Cricetulus griseus: one gene and its partner. The protein of the gene in region 1 purifies or fractionates together with the protein of each later gene. This does not show direct contact. Links are inferred from orthologs where the notes say so. Each region holds a gene or a part of one and is shown in the gene's direction. Other genes may lie near its edges.

Evidence for each region.
Region 2: the proteins of Poc1a (region 1) and Nudc purify together in Homo sapiens (co-immunoprecipitation; 3 studies listed by BioGRID and IntAct, with this or other methods). This does not show direct contact. The link is inferred for Cricetulus griseus from reciprocal best matches to the Homo sapiens genes POC1A and NUDC.

The regions. Positions count from the first base shown.
Region 1 is NC_048597.1:214,480,779-214,488,976, forward strand, and holds the start of Poc1a (POC1 centriolar protein homolog A), read left to right. Parts: upstream 1-3,575; 5' UTR 3,576-3,950; coding exon 3,951-3,968; intron 3,969-4,169; exon of another isoform or gene 4,170-4,327; intron 4,328-5,427; coding exon 5,428-5,512; intron 5,513-7,654; coding exon 7,655-7,826; intron 7,827-8,113; coding exon of another isoform or gene 8,114-8,165; coding exon 8,166-8,198.
Region 2 is NC_048595.1:19,729,326-19,736,879, forward strand, and holds part of Nudc (nuclear migration protein nudC), read left to right. Parts: intron 1-4,254; coding exon 4,255-4,458; intron 4,459-4,549; coding exon 4,550-4,615; intron 4,616-5,632; coding exon 5,633-5,944; intron 5,945-6,709; coding exon 6,710-6,793; intron 6,794-6,910; coding exon 6,911-7,029; intron 7,030-7,520; coding exon 7,521-7,554. UniProt on the Homo sapiens protein: Plays a role in neurogenesis and neuronal migration. Necessary for correct formation of mitotic spindles and chromosome separation during mitosis. Necessary for cytokinesis and cell proliferation.

The DNA.
Region 1 (8,198 bases):
GTGGCACATGCCTTTAATCCCAGCACTCGGGAGGCAGAGGCAGGTAGATCTATGTGAGTTCAAGACCAGCCTTGTCCTCAGAGTGAGTTCCAAGACATCCAGGGTTACACACAGCAAAACCGTGTCTCAACAACAACAACAACAAAACCCCAAAACACCCCCCACCCCACCCCAGCAACAAAGCAAAACAATCCAACTCCATCAGAAACACCAGGCTGAGAACTTGTTGTCTTTGTTGCTGTTATTTTTGAGACAAGGTCTCACTGTGCAACCTTGGCTGCTCTGGGAATAGTTGGCCTCAGATTCACATCAATCTGCCTCTGCCTCCTAAATGCTGAGATTGAAGGCATGCGCCATCATGCCAGCCCCTTGAGAACTTTTCAAACAGAGTAGACCAATGAAGGGTACAACAGCCTCATCTGGGTCCCCTAAAAAGAATGCCTAACACCTTTCAGTGACCAGTCAACCAATCACAGAATACACGTGTCAAGAATTCAACAGAGAATTCACTGTCCTCATCATGATTCCCTCTGTTTAACTCGACCCATTTAGACAGCCATGCCTGTTTGTCCACCCATACCTAGGAGGGTCTTGTGCCTCTGCAGCCCCTACGCCTCCGCAGCTTGGCTGTGAAGCCAGGCTCTAAGACCCTCCAGCAGTTCTCCAACTGTGTTCACTAATATCACATATAAAAACGTGCAATAACTCCTTGCATCTGTATCAGCTCTCCACCTCTCCTTCCAGCAAGGCTTCTTTGAATGATGCTGTAGCCTCTTAAATTCTTTTGTAGTCATTTTGTAACCTATGTAATACATTGTGTGTGCATATATTTATGTATACACATACATTTACAAATATATTGTTATGTAAAAGTAAGAGATCTGAATTAATCTTAGCAATTAAGATTGGGATCATGGGGCTCAGTTGGGTCAGTGATTGCCTAGCATTTATGAATACCTGGGTTCAATCCCCACCATTGTATAAACCAAACATGATAGTACAAGCCTATACTCCCAGAATGGAAGCAGGATCATCTGAAGTTCGAAGTTGTCTTCAGCTATGTAGTGGTCAAGAGGCCAGTCTGGGCTACATGAGACCCTTCTTGTAACAGGGCTCCAGACCTCATGACAGAAGTACTGTACCATTCAGGCTGTAAAACTCAGCACATAAATAGCCCCACCTGCCAAAACTAAAACAAAAGCCTAAAGTCCACAGTTCTGGAGAAGTCTCTAAATGGATTAAATCTTGCTATTTGGCTTCTGTAGTTCCTCTTCTGGTTAACTGTTCTTGTTAACTGAAGAATGTCAACCCAGAACATGGTTTTGTGCTTTAAAGCTCTCCCTGAGAAAGGCTCAGGGCTACACTGGGATCCCAAACGCCCAGTGTAGTTGTCAGACAGCTAATAAAGACTTTCTTTCTTTCTTTCTTTCTTTCTTTCTTTCTTTCTTTCTTTCTTTCTTCTTCTTCTTCTTCTTCTTCTTCTTCTTCTTCTTCTTCTTCTTCTTCTTCTTCTCTTCTTCTTTTGAGACAGGGTTTCTCTGTGTAGCTTTGGAGCCTATCCTGGGACTTGCTCTGTAGCTCTGTAGACCAGGCTTGCCTTGAACTCACAGAGATCCTCCTGCCTCTGCCTCTCAAGTGCTGAGATTAAAGGCGTGCGCCACCACTGCCCAGCTCATATAAATCTTAAAAAGTAAAAATAAAAGAACCTGTGGACTGCTGGAAGAAGTGGCAGGGGGAGCTCTGTGAGTGGGAGGCTAGCTGGTCTACAGAGTAAGTTCCAGTATAAGATAGAGACCCTATCTCACAAAACAAAACAACAACAAAGTGACATAGCTTGTGAATTTATTGTTGTTCAATACATGTTGACATTATAGAAATATTCAGATGTGTCCATCATGTTTCTGGCATGGTGTGTTCATGACACAGACAAGAGAACAACTGAATATTGTTATGGGGAGACTGGGAAACTGTTCTCTGAACAGTGCTGAACAATCCAGAGCAGATTGTGTAGGTGATCAACTATTTTTGTCTTGGGAATTTCACAGTGTCTATATTAAATTGGCCTAAATATTTCTAACCTAAAGGAACCAATTCTATGCCAACATTGTTAAAACAGCATCAGATATATATCCACTTCTTGCATCTCTCCTCAAGATATTTTAAAAATATTTTTTGTGTCTATGCATGTGAGTACAGGTGTCCTAGGAGACCTGAGGTGTTGAATTGCTTTAGAACTGGGGTTACAGGCAGTTGTGAGCCAACTGACATAGGTATTGGGAATAGAACTTGTGTCCCCTGTGACAGCCATATACACTCTTAGCCAATGAATCATTCTTTGAGGTCCAAATACACTTCTCCACATGACAGTTTCCTGAGTTTACTGTCCCTGAAGATTTAGGGACACAGTCTCAAGTCTAGGCATGTGGTAAGAAACCTCAGGACACATCCAGACACTAATTAGTGTTGGAGTATGAACAAGTTGGCTTGCTCAGGATAGGTGATGGAAGGTTCTTGAATCTTACAAAGCATACAGTTCAGGTCAGGTGCATGTTGGGAAGATTCCCTTGGAAAGCGCAGGTGGAAAAAAGGTCACTAAGGGCCTTCTCGGCTTTCACTGAGGGAAGTGAGAAAGGATGGCCTCTGCTGGCCAGGCGGAGGATTGCGTCTCTCTCTCTCTCTCTCTCTCTCTCTCTCTCTCTCTCTCTCTCTCTCTCTCTCTCTCTCTCTCTCTCTCTCTAGATTATCCCCAGACTACACTTTTTTTTTTTTTTTGGTTTTTTGAGACAGGGTTTCTCTGTGTAGCTTTGGAGTCTATCCTGGCACTCGCTCTGGAGACCAGGCTGTCCTCGAACTTACAGAGATCTGCCTGCCTCTCTGCCTCTCGAATGCTGGGATTAAAGGCGTGTGCCACCAATGCCCGGCTTAACTTTCTTTTTTTTTTTTTTTAAAGATTTTATTTATTTATTATGTATACAACATTCTGCTTCCATGTATATCTGCACACCAGAAGAGGGTACCAGATCTCATAACGGATGGCTGTGAGCCACCACGTGGTTTCTGGGAATTGAACTCAGGACCCTTGGAAGAGCAGTCGGTGCTCTTAACCTGAGCCATCTCTCCAGCCCATATATTAATTTTTTTTAGACAGAGTATGTAAAGGCTTCTCAAGGCTGAAGAGTTCTGAGAAGGCAGGGCTGTAATCACATTTACTTTTAGGACAAAATGAGAGACTGCCCTTAGAGTAGATATCTTTTTCCTGAGGCCACCCAGTAAAACGAGTAGAGAATTAAGAATTGAACATAGGTCTCACTACTCCATGGCTGTGATTCTGAATGACTCCAGTACTTTTAAATAGACACTTAAGACCTTTCGGAGGAACGAACCATTCTGTGGTCCAGAGGGGAGAATGACTAAGGTTCTCAATGGCGCCCTTGAAGCTTTAAGACAGCACTAGTGGCCTCTTTCCGGGATCCTTAAGGCCTTCACTCCGAATGTTAAAGCTCCGCCCACTCCGGGGCATCTCGGGAAATGTAGTTCTACCTTTATTAAGATTGTAGGGTAAGTGCTATGTAGAACTTCATTTCCCGAAAGGCTACGCTCTCTGCTACCCGAGCTAGGCGATGAGCCGAAGGGACGAAACCTTCTTCTAGGGTTTTTTAAGTTCTCAGACGGAAGGAGTGACGGCGAACTGAAGCTTTTGGCTGCTCGGCGGGTCACCTCATCTGGCGGAATTGGAGGAAGAGAGCGTGGCGCCTGTAGAGCGGCCCTACTTCCGGTCGACGGGCAAAAACCTAGGGCTCTTTTCCTTTAATTGGGCGGGACGCGGCGACGCCACCGGCGTTGCTATTGGCGGCGATTGGGGGCGCGGAAACTGAACTGGCACAACTGCCGCCGCAGCTACCTCGGGTTTTTGGGGTGCCTTTGGTTCTGCCAGCCCTGCCAACCCTTCCATGGCCGGTCCCAGCCCGGTAAGTCCCTGGAGAATGGGCGCCTAGCTGCCTGGAGCAATGGCCGCGAGAGGACCGGGTGGTGGCGCGGGGTTCTGGGGTTGCTTCTCCATCTAAGGTCGGGGTGGGGCTGGGCATTGACCCATCGCCCCAAGTGCCAGGCTAAATGCTGGACCACCCGGGCGAACAAACAAGTCCCTGTCTCTGGGATTTACGGCTTAGAGAGGAAGACACAAGCAAGGCCCGACCCTTGTCGTGGCCCCGGACCAGTGTGAGCCTCGTCATCCTCTCCTGTCCTTCGCGTCTACTTGGAGGCGGCATCTTTTCCAACCAGTGGAAGCAGTAGGCCATTGGGATGCCTGAGGTGTCGGAGGCCTGCGGTATGACCTGGGTCCGACCCTGACCCCTTTTCCAGTGCAGAAAAGGACTCCAAATTGGTGTTTTAAGTAAGAGTTTGCTTCCAAAGTTCCTGGTGCTCTGGCCAGGTGGTAGCCGGTGGCTCCTGACGCATCTGAAGACTTGGGCAAAAATAGAACACAGACTCTTGACTGGCAATCTGATATTCTGTTTACATCCGTAACAACACACTGTTTTTAGGGGAGAGGAGGCCGGCATGCAGGAAACTACTCAGGGAAGAGGGCCTCCGGAAGGGGTGCTCTTCTGCACACTGAGCCTAGGATAGGCACTGCCTTGCCCTTAGTTTTCCAAGAGGTGAGGTCCTCAGGTGAGGACAGGAGGCAGAATGGGGCACTTGCTGCTTAGTTGGAGGCCGTCCTCTCTGCCCCTAACTACCACTCCATCTGTTAAAAGGCGTGGTCCTGCAGGTGTGTTGGGGGCGGAGCTGGGCACTGTGCCTCACCTTTGTTTTGTGTACAGGTTTATGGAGTAACAGTGGCTTTGCTATGCCTTAGGAATGCCCTTTCCCAAACTGGGTTCCTCGGAGCTCCTAAAATGTTTGGGGTTTGTTTGTTTTTTGTTTTGTTTTTTGAAGTTTTTGATGCTTGAGGTGGAGGAAGATAACTTACTATGGCTGAGATATAACTCCCAAAGTCTTGTATTTAGCCTTGGCTAGCCTGGAACTCACTGTGTAGACCAGGCTGGCCTAGATCTCACAGAAATTTACCTGCCCTGCCTCCTGAGTGGGATTAAAGGTATGTGGCACCTCACTTGGCCCATATTTGGTTTATTTGTTGTGGATTTATTGATTCATCTGTCTGTTCATGGTGTATTTGTTGATTGTGTACCCTTCCTTGCTGTGCTCATTTATTCTAATAGTTTATAGTGAATTCCTTAGGATTTCCAAAAACAAGATATGTATGTATATATGTGTGTGTGATGTTAAAAACACTCAAGTTATATCCTTGATATATATACATATATATCAACTAGTTATATACATAATCTAGTTATAGGAAGAGTCTTGGTCCCAGAGAAACCCCTTCCTCAGGCTTTTTCCATTTGACCTTGCTCTCTCCCTCAGGAGGACCCCTCACTGGAGAGGCATTTTAAGGGCCACCGAGATGCAGTTACCAGTGTGGACTTCAGTCTCAACACTAAGCAGCTGGGTAAGAGAAGGCATCTATCTTGTCTAAGATTTTAGATTCTAAACTGAGAAGGCTGAGTTTCTCCCTGGGAGTATTGGTATGCCAACGCTAGGCTACAGCAAGGACATGCTGTTTGGTCCTTTGTATTGCTTCTCCGTGTCAGCTTTCTGAACACTGGGCTTACTAGGTTCCATAAGCCCCATTGTGCATGAGAAGAGTATAACGCTCAGAGATGTTAGGAGCCCTGTCAGGGTCATACAGCATTTATTTATTTATTTATTTATTTATTTATTTATTTATTTATTTATTTATGCCTTTTATTAAAAAGGTTCTTTTTCGGGGGCTGGAGAGATGGCTCAGAGGACCCAGCACCCATATGGCAGTTTAAAACATCTGTAACTCTGGTTCCAGGGAATGTGACACCTTTATACCAATGCACATAAAATAAAGTTAAATAAATTATTTTTTAAAAAAGATTCTTTTTTTTAAGTTTTTTTTTATTTATTATGTATACAATGTTCTGCCTGCATGTATGCCTGCAGGCTGGATGAGGACACCAGATCTCATTATAGATGGTTGTGAGCCACCATGTGGTTGCTGGGAATTGAACTCAGGATCTCTGGAAGAGCAGTCAGTGCTCTTAACCTCTGAGCCATCTCTCCAGCCCCCCCCCAAAAGATTCTTTTTCTCACAAAATATATCATGGTTATGGTTTTGTCTCCCTCTACTCCTGGCAGATCCTTCCCACCTCTCCTCCCATCTGGATCCACTCCCTTTTGGTCTCTCATTAGAAAAGAACGGGCTTCTAAGGGATAATAAAATACATTAAGATCAAACAAAAACTCTCATATTAGAGTTGCATAAACAAAACAAGGAAAAGAGCCCAAGAAGAAGGCACTAGAATCAGAGACACACTTGTTCTACACACTCAGGAATCCCATAATGACACTAAATTGGAAGCTGTAATATATATACAGAGGCCTTGGTGCAGACCCATGCAGGCTCTGTGCTGGTCAGGCATCCTTTGAGAGATTAGGGTCTAGGTTTTCCCCTGTACATCTTGGCCACTTCTTGGGTCTGCTCTGTGGCAGGGATCCCAAACTGGCTCCTTTTCCTTGAATCTTCAGTTTGATTGTCCACAGTAATATGGTATATTTTCTTGTACCTACTACTAGTGAGAAAGTTGTTAACAAGGTCCATCTCCCAACTCCATACTGCTGTCCCTTTCTTATATACACTGGTGTTCCTAAGTAGCTTTCTGGCTGCAGATTTCTTTTTCCACGGATTAGGCTTGCCACTTTATCTTTTTTGTTTGTTTTTGGTTTTTTGAGACAGGTTTTCTCTGTGTAGCCTTGGCTGTCCTGGAGCTCATTTTATGAGGCTCATTTTATGAGGCTGTCCTCATAACTCACAGAGATCCACCTGCCTCTGCCTCCCAAGTCCTGGTATTATACCACTTCCCAGCTTGCTTCTTTATCTTATTGTTAAGGTTTCCTGCCAGAGGCTGTTGGTGTAATGGTTTGCTGTAAGCAAAAAGGGAACTGAAGTCATTTTTTTGTCTGTTCTTTCTTTTTTTTTAATTTATTTTTAGATTGTCTTATTTTATTTGTATGAATGTTTTACCTACATGCATGTCTGTGTACCACAAGTGTGCCTGTTGCCCCCAGAGTCCAGAAGAGGACATAGGCTTCCCTGGAACTGGAGTTACAGATTGTTGTGAGTTACCATGTGATTGCTGGGAATTGAACCCAGATCCTCTGGAAGAGCAGCAAGTGCTCTTTACTGCTGAACCATCTCTCCAGCCCCAACCAAGTTGGTCCTTTCAATAGTAAATGACCTTTGTCTGACTGGCTCCTGAGTATTGGGAGGACTTCGCCCTGTGCTCTCAGAGTATCAATGAGGAGACCCCACAGTACAGAAATGGCATGTGAATGGCCTGTCACTCTGGTTCCTATGTTGGCATGGAAAACTGCCAGGCCCTAGCTCTCCAAACTGTATGTCAGCAGTTATAGGGTGTGGGCACTCCCACTGGGATTCTTTCCATTGCTCTGCTGGGGATGCTGTGAAGGTAGAGCTGGGCCTGCTCTCCTGTATTCCTAGCAATGTGGTAGGTGATCAAGATTCTTGAGGTCTGAGAATCATCGTGTTACCCACTCTCCTCAGCCAGCGGCTCCATGGACTCATGCCTCATGATTTGGCACATGAAGCCCCAGTCACGTGCCTACCGCTTCACGGGCCACAAGGACGCTGTGACTTGTGTGAACTTCTCCCCATCAGGACACCTGCTTGCCTCAGGTTCCCGAGACAAGACTGTTCGAATCTGGATACCCAATGTGTGAGTTATGGGCCTCAAGGGACTAACAACGCTGAGGGACTTGGTATAAGAGCTGTCCCTCCTTGGGTCTTTACCCTGGCTTTGAGCTGGTCACAGTGGGACATGTGACCTCTGAGAGAGGCTAGCAGAGGGCTTCAGTTGGGGTTGTCTCCTTATGATGAAAGGACTCCCACAAGGGGAGAGGTGGGAGAGAAGCACTTTGTTTCTGTTGGGGAGGCTCTTGCTGTTCTGGGGAGACTGGGACAGTCAGGCCTAGAGAGGTAGAGAGAACTTTGGTGTACTTGTAGGTCCTCATGTCACTATTAGGAATCTCCTGAGTCTGGATATCTATCCTCATAGCAAAGGTGAGTCAACCGTGTTTCGAGCACACAC
Region 2 (7,554 bases), on another chromosome or scaffold:
ACTAAAAGCCCACTGGGGAGTGGCTTGTAAGATCCAGCCTCAGTTCTCGCTGAGTCTTCCTAGCAGTCTACCAGTCCTGAGCTATGAGATGGGATTCTAACAGACAGGTCTATCAAGTCTATCAAGATTCTTCCTATCAAGATCCATCCGCTTGGAAGTACCAAGGACTTAGGAGTTTTGTGCCGGGAACCTGGGACAAAGACTTGGTTTCTTTACTGTAGCTCACGTCCACCTTGCGGGTGCAGGGTTTCTTTTTCTTCCCTAGAACTACACTGTAGATAGACAGAAGTGGTTTCTCTCTGGCGCTGTCAGTTCTTGGTCATGCCTATACCTATGGACCTATCATTGTTCTACCTCTTTCCTTTATCTGGAGAAGCTTCCCATCACTCACTCTTTGCTTCTGTGCAGGAAGAGCCCATGTTTCTGCTTTCAGAATAATTACTAGTATGTTTTCAAGGTGACTCACGAGGTGGGTTTTTTCTCTACTCATTGCCGGGCGTGGCGGCGCACGCCTTTAATTTCAGCACTCGGGAGGCAGAGGCAGGCGCATCTCTGTGAGTTTGAGACTAGCCTGGTCTACAAGAGCTAGTTCCAGGACAGCCTCCAAAGCCACAGGGAAACCCTGTGTCGAAAAACCAAAAAAAAAAATCTCATGGGCTTGAGTAAACATGTTCCAGGGTTGTTACCAAGTCAATCAAGAGGGATATCTGTTACAGGACACAGGCTTGTTTTGCTTTTGATCCTAGCATGAGCCTCCCTATCAGGCCCCGTGTAAACTGCTGTCAACTTCCATCTTGGGAGTTTGTCAGGCTATTGTCACCTTCTTCCCTGATTCCCTCTACCTAGCTTACTTAGGTTAGCCTTCCCTGCTTCCTTTGTTTATAAATGTTTGAATAGATATACTTCCTAGTTAGCAGCTTAATGAAAGGTGTTTTGTACTGCCGGGTGGTTGTGGTGCATTCCTTTAATCCCAGCACTTGGGAGGCAGAGGCAGGCAGAGCTCTGTGTGTTCGAGACCAGCTGGTGTACAAGAGCGAGTTCTAGGACAGGCTCCAAAGCTACACAGGGAAACCCAGTCTCAAAAAAAAAAAAAAAGAGGTGTCTTGTAAAATTCCCCTGCGTTCAGAAAAATGGTTGAACTGCTACAAAGAGAGGTATCATCTGTCTCTGGAGGGCATGGGCATAGTCGTCATGATGCCACTCAAGTGAGGAGGTGCTGATGGCAGGGTGAGGTGCAGGTCAGGGGCCTTGTTCTTCACAAGACAGGGAATTTGACTTGGTAAGAAACAAAAGGTGCCCTGAAAGCCACCTCAATGGGGCAGGGCTAGCCCTGGACCAAACAAGGCTGTCCCAAGTAAAGGAAGCAACAATAGTAAATGAAGAGCTGTGGAAGTTACTAAAAGAAAAAGTTGCATGAACACACACACAAACGCACGCACGCACGCACGCTCGCTCGCTCGCTTTGCAGGCCAGATAGAAGGACCTGGGCAGAGGCTGAGCGCATAGGCTGCGTGCTAGGAAGTAGTGGGCCATTCTGTGTAAGGCTGGTACCAGGTGGGTCTTCATGGGTGACTATTTGCTCTGGCCTTGGTCACTTGGATGACAGTTATCACTCAAAATGAGGAGCTTCCTAGGAGAAAGTTGCTGGGGTACTGGTTTGTGGGGTGTGGGAGTGTAGCAAGCTTCCTTGTCTGACTATCTTTGGATTGGCAGCCTCCAAGTAAGGACACAGAGACTTAATATTAATTCTGAAAGCTTGGCCTTAGCTTAGGCTTTTCCTTAAGTAGCTCTTAAAACTAACTTAAATGAACCTGTCTGTATTAATCTACATTTGTCATGTGGCTCAGTCACTTCTGCTCTGTACCGTGTGTCCAACTTAAGAGTTTCCCTGGCATCTCCCTGCCTCTCCTTCCTAGAATTCTCTCCGCAGAATTGCTGCATATTCTCTCCTGCCTAGCTATTGGAAATTCAGCTCTTTATTAAACCAATCACAATGACACGTCTTCAGTGTACAAATATCCCACAACAGGTAAGGGTGGAGAGAAGCCATGTTGGTTCTGCCTGTTCCTTAGGTAAAGGCTGCTGGCTCTGTATCTCTCCCATCCCAACTCTAGGCATATCCTTGCTGAGAAATCTGGGGCCTGTGGGGCAACTTGAAAGTTGAGAAAGGGCAGGAGCCAGGTATGCGGCTCTAACACAATCTGGGAAAGGGAGACAGATGGTGGGGTAGGCAGGGCCAAAAGACAGAATCAACAGGACACTGTCTCCCTGAGCACCCTGACCAGATGATGCATCCCTCTGTGGTCCACTGCTACCCTGAGTAACCTGAGCATCCCTCTGTGGTCCACTGCTACCCTGAGCATCCCTCTGTGGTCCTTTGCTTGTCAAGTGTTACTAACCCTGAGAGTGATCAAGGTCAGGCTCTCGGCCTTTCTTTGGGTTAGGCATAAGTGGCTCTGCAGTGTGCCCTTCCAGACTAGGAACCATTCTTATCCCCATCAGTTCTGTTAAGAAAACACCTGTGTTCGCCGGGCGTTGGTGGCGCACGCCTTTAATCCCAGCACTTGGGAGGCAGAGGCAGGCGGATCTCTCTGAGTTCGAGACCAGCCTGGTCTACAAGAGCTAGTTCCAGGATAGGCTCCAAAGCCACAGAGAAACCCTACCTCAACCCCCCCCAAAAAAAAAAAAAAAAAAGAAAAAAGAAAAAACACCTGTGTTCAACCCACCAGGTCCAGAATACCTCACTCTGTCCCGCCTGCCAGCCTGTGGCTCCTAACCCTGTGTCAGTGGCTGAAGCTTGACTCGAGACCTCTACAACCTCTGCTGCATAGGCCACCTCTAGCCTATGGTGGGAGGGGACTGGCAAGAAGGGTCAGAGGCTGTTCTGGTTGGCTTTGACATTGCCTGGTGGCTCGTGTCTGTCCTCTTTTAACCTCCAGTGGCTAGGAAGTAATAGGACAAGTGGATTGTGACATGATTTATGGGGCTAGAAGAGGGAGGGCCCTGTTCCTGTCCCTCCTTGGCCAGTGATTGTCAAATGGCTTGAGTTCAAGGTCCCCCTGATTAGAAACTGGGGACAAGGCCCTTTGGTGGAACAGTCTCTTGCAGTTGCTTCATGACCTGTTTCTCTCCTCAGCAGCATGGCCTCTGAGTTCCTTGTTTCTTTCACTCCCATTATTACTCCTTTTTAAAGAAATAGTTTACTTATTTTATTTTATATGTATTGGTGTTTTGCCTGCATGTATGTCTGTATGTGGCAATCAGATTTCCTGGAACAGTTGTTACAGACAGCTATGAGCTGTAACGTGGGTGCTGGGAATTGAAATCTGGATCCTATAGAAGAGTAGCGAGTGCTCTTGACCACTGAGCCATCTCTCCAACCCCCGTCATTACTCTTAAGCTTGCTGGCACTGTGGTGTCTTCTTTGCTTGCAAAGTCTGAAGCTATCTCAGTGAGGCATGGGGCTGGGGATTGGAAGGGAGGGTCACAGATGAATGAGTCTGGGGACATTTGACAGAACCTTGGGTATAGGAGACTTCTGTGACTGCGCCTCCTTCCAGCTTAGGTGCAGACGTGCTTGGAATATGGTTCATTGAGCACTGATCACGGGGTGGTTGCCCTGGGGACTCCTTAGGTATGCACTTTGTATGAAGTGTGGGTGGCCACAGAGTTGCAGTAGGGTCTGTTCAGAGTCGGCTAGAGACATTTGAGCTGGTCCTGGAGACTGACCAGTAAGACAAAGAGCTCATTCTAGGTGAGAACAGCATTTGCCGAGGCTGTGTTTACAGAGAGACTGAGATGACTCAGGTCGTTCTTCAGACCTGTGGCAGGTGCTAGGTGGGGAGTCCTGGGTGGCAGGGAGGACATCTAGCAGGTCCTGGGGTTAAAGCATCATGGGATACTTGCTCAGTGGACATGAAAGAACTTGAAATTGGAAGTTCTCTGTTTAGGAAGGAAAATAGATTCTTCCCTTGGGAGGGGAGGGGTCTACTTGCTGATTCTGAGTGTGACTTTGAGTGCTGCCATCTGGGGCAGAGAGACAGCCAAGGAACAGGAAATGTAGACCTGGGTGCTAGGGCAGGCTTCTTAAAGGGACTGAGCTTGAGATCTGTTTGTAACAGAAGCAGTACCAGCACCCTCCTCACCAGTGCACAGCTGTGTACCTGGCACCAGTTGCAAGGCAGAGGTGAGCAGGGCTTTGTCCCTAGGCCTTAAGACATTGTCCCTGCTCTGATGTTTCACTGCCCTCCCCAGCTCATCACGCAGACCTTTAACCACCACAACCAGCTGGCACAGAAGGCTCGGAGAGAGAAGCGAGCTCGGCAGGAGACTGAACGTCAGGAGAAGGCAGAGCGGGCAGCCAGGCTGGCCAAGGAGGCCAAGGCAGAGACTCCTGGGCCGCAGATCAAGGAGCTGACTGATGAGGAGGCCGAGAGGCTGCAGCTGGAGATTGATCGGGTGAGGCCGAGTGTCCCTCCTCTGCCCCCTCCCTGACTGCATCAGTCCTGGGAAGTAGGGCTCTGTTCCAACTGTGTACCCTTTGTCACAGAAAAAGGATGCAGAGAATCATGAGGTCCAACTCAAAAATGGCAGTCTCGACTCACCTGGGAAACAGGTAAGATAGACCTGGCACCAGCTTCCTCCCTTCAACGGGATTCTCTCCTCCCCTCTCCTGCCCCCAGCCTTGAGGACTCTTCCCAAACATTGAAAACAGAACTAGTGTGGTGGTCCACACCAGTAATCTCAGCATTTAGGGAGCTGAGTCAGAAAAATTGGTGTAAATATGGGCTATATAGTGAGAACCTTTTTTTTTTTTTTAAATCTTATTTTATGTGCTTTTTTTTTTTTTTTTTTTTTTGCCATGGGTGTCAGGTTCCCTGGAACTGGAATTACAGGCAGCTGTGAGCTGCTATGTGGTTGCTGGGAATTGAACCCAGGGTCCTTTGGAAGAGCAGTCAGTGCTTTTAACCACTGAGCCATCTCTCCAGCCCCCGAGAACCTATTTCAAAAATATTAAAATTTTTTTTTTTTTTTCTTCAACCCAGCCATAGTGGCACGAGCCTTTAATCCTAGCACTCAGGAGGCAGGGGTAGGCGGATCTCTGAGTTTCAGGGCAGCCAGGGTTATGTAGAGAGATGCCGTTGATGATGGTGATAATTTTTTTGATGATTGGCCTTAATCCTGGGACAAGAAAACCCACAAGTGGGCTGAAAAGTGGTTAGGAGCATTTGTTGCTTTTGCAAAGGTCCCAGGTTTGGTCCTCAGCACCCACATGGTCACAACCATCTCTAACTTCAGTTAGATGCCCTCTTCTGTACTCTGTGGGTGCCAGGCATGCACACGGTACACATGCATACATGCTGGCAAAATATCTCTGAAAACCGCTCACAAGTCAGAGGGCACCAGGAAGGGTGGGCTGAGGGGCGGGGCAGTGAGCTCTGCCATATCCTTTCTCACAGGATACATTTCAGGATTGGTTTTTACCTTTGGTTCCCAGTGACCCAGGGTGTGTAGGTGTGCAATGCTTAGGTCTGCTCTCTTGTGGCTGTTGTGTCCAGTGGCAGTTCTGGGCCTGGCCTGGTGGAAGTCTGGTCTGTCAGGTAAGTCATTGAGCACCTCTGACTGTGAGCAGGATGCTGAAGAGGAGGAGGAGGAAGATGAGAAGGACAAAGGGAAGCTGAAGCCCAACCTGGGCAACGGGGCTGACCTGCCCAACTACCGCTGGACCCAGACCCTGTCGGAACTAGATCTGGCTGTGCCCTTCCGAGTCAGCTTCCGGCTGAAAGGGAAGGATGTGGTGGTGGACATCCAGCGGCGGCACCTCCGGGTGGGCCTCAAGGGGCAGCCGCCGGTGATTGACGGAGAGCTGTACAATGAAGTAAAGGTGGAGGAGAGCTCGTGGCTCATTGAAGACGGCAAGGTGGTGACGGTGCATCTGGAGAAGGTACGAGAGGCGCTGCCTGGCCAGGGTGCGGACTGACTTCCTCTGACAGTGTTGCGGGCCTTCGGGGCTCACTCCTCACTCCGCCCTTGCTTTGTAGTCAGGAAACAGCTTGGATTCAGCTGTGTGGCTTGCTTAGGGCAGGGCAGGCAGAGTCAGGTCTTCTGTGTCAATCCTGTTCCTTCCCATCATGCTTGCACGTGGGTTCAGTTCCACACATGCTTGAACACCTACTGTGTGCCAGGCACTGTTCTCAGGACTGGAGAACAGTGAACAGATGGTAGAAGAATTTGCCCTCATAGAGTCCACATTGTCTTCCTAGAGGTAGGGTATTTACTGGGGTAAATAAAGGTGGTGTCTGCAAAGGGCCAAGAGTCCAAGCTTCCCCTGGCACAGAAGGTGACTCGGCTGCTGCTCACTCTGCCCTTGTACGGGGTTTCCTCCCAGCCAGAGTCTCCTTTCTTATTTGCTCTTTTCCCTTCCTTCTTGTTTACTGCTAATACCTTAAGTTACGCTAGCCTCTCCTCCATGGAGTGGCCACGGCACACTGGCTTGCCCTGATGCATTGATTTGTAACTGCTGGCCTGTGTCTTCCCCTGGCTGCTGGGTGGATAGAGGTCCAGATCTTCTGTACCCTGCTCCCAGCACAGGCCTGCATGGGGCTTGGATACAAGATGTGGATGGGAGGAGTTTAGTTCTAAAGGGATTGAGGTATAATTCCTGAGTCACAGAGCTTTGTTTCCCCATTGGAAACCTTCCTCCTCTCAGATCAATAAAATGGAATGGTGGAACCGCCTGGTTACCAGTGACCCCGAAATCAATACCAAGAAGATTAATCCTGAGAACTCCAAGGTGCGTCCCGGTTGGCTGGGAAGCTTGTTGTGAGTCCCGGTTGGCTGGGAAGCTTGTTGTAGAAGTTGAGGGCTAGTTGGTCCAGTGCTTGCTTCATCCCTCTCCCTGCCTCTCTAGCTGTCAGACCTGGACAGTGAGACTCGCAGCATGGTGGAAAAAATGATGTATGACCAAAGGCAGAAGTCCATGGGATTGCCCACCTCTGATGAACAGAAGAAACAGGAAATCCTGAAGAAGTAAGTAACTCAGGGTCAGGGAGGATTGCTCTGGGGACTTAGGCCTGGGAGATAACAGTGTGGTAATTAATATCTTGCTTCTACAAATAAAGCCCATCTGGGGGTCAGAGAAACAAGGTATCACCAAATACTGAATGGGACTCTAGACTGTCCTGTCCACTTCCAGCACAGCCAGCCAAGTTCATGGTTCTGTGGCCTTGGCTTGCCTGTGCTGACCACCTGCCAGGGTCATCTCCAGGACAAGGCTACCTTAAGAGTAGGAAGCAATAGGTAAGAGGTGGTCATTGCCACCTACTGGAAACTGGTGCTACTGCTGGCCCGTCCCACTCCCAGCCTCGAGGGCTCAAACAGGCTTCAGCTATCTGAGGCCCCATGTGGCTTAGCCCAGTGTTTTCAGGGTTCTGAGGAGGTTAGGCCCAATGTCAAGAATAGAAATAGCAGGCTAGCTTAGAGTGTACAACTCCCTTCACTCTTACATTTCTGCTTCCCAGGTTCATGGATCAGCACCCAGAGATGGATTTCTCC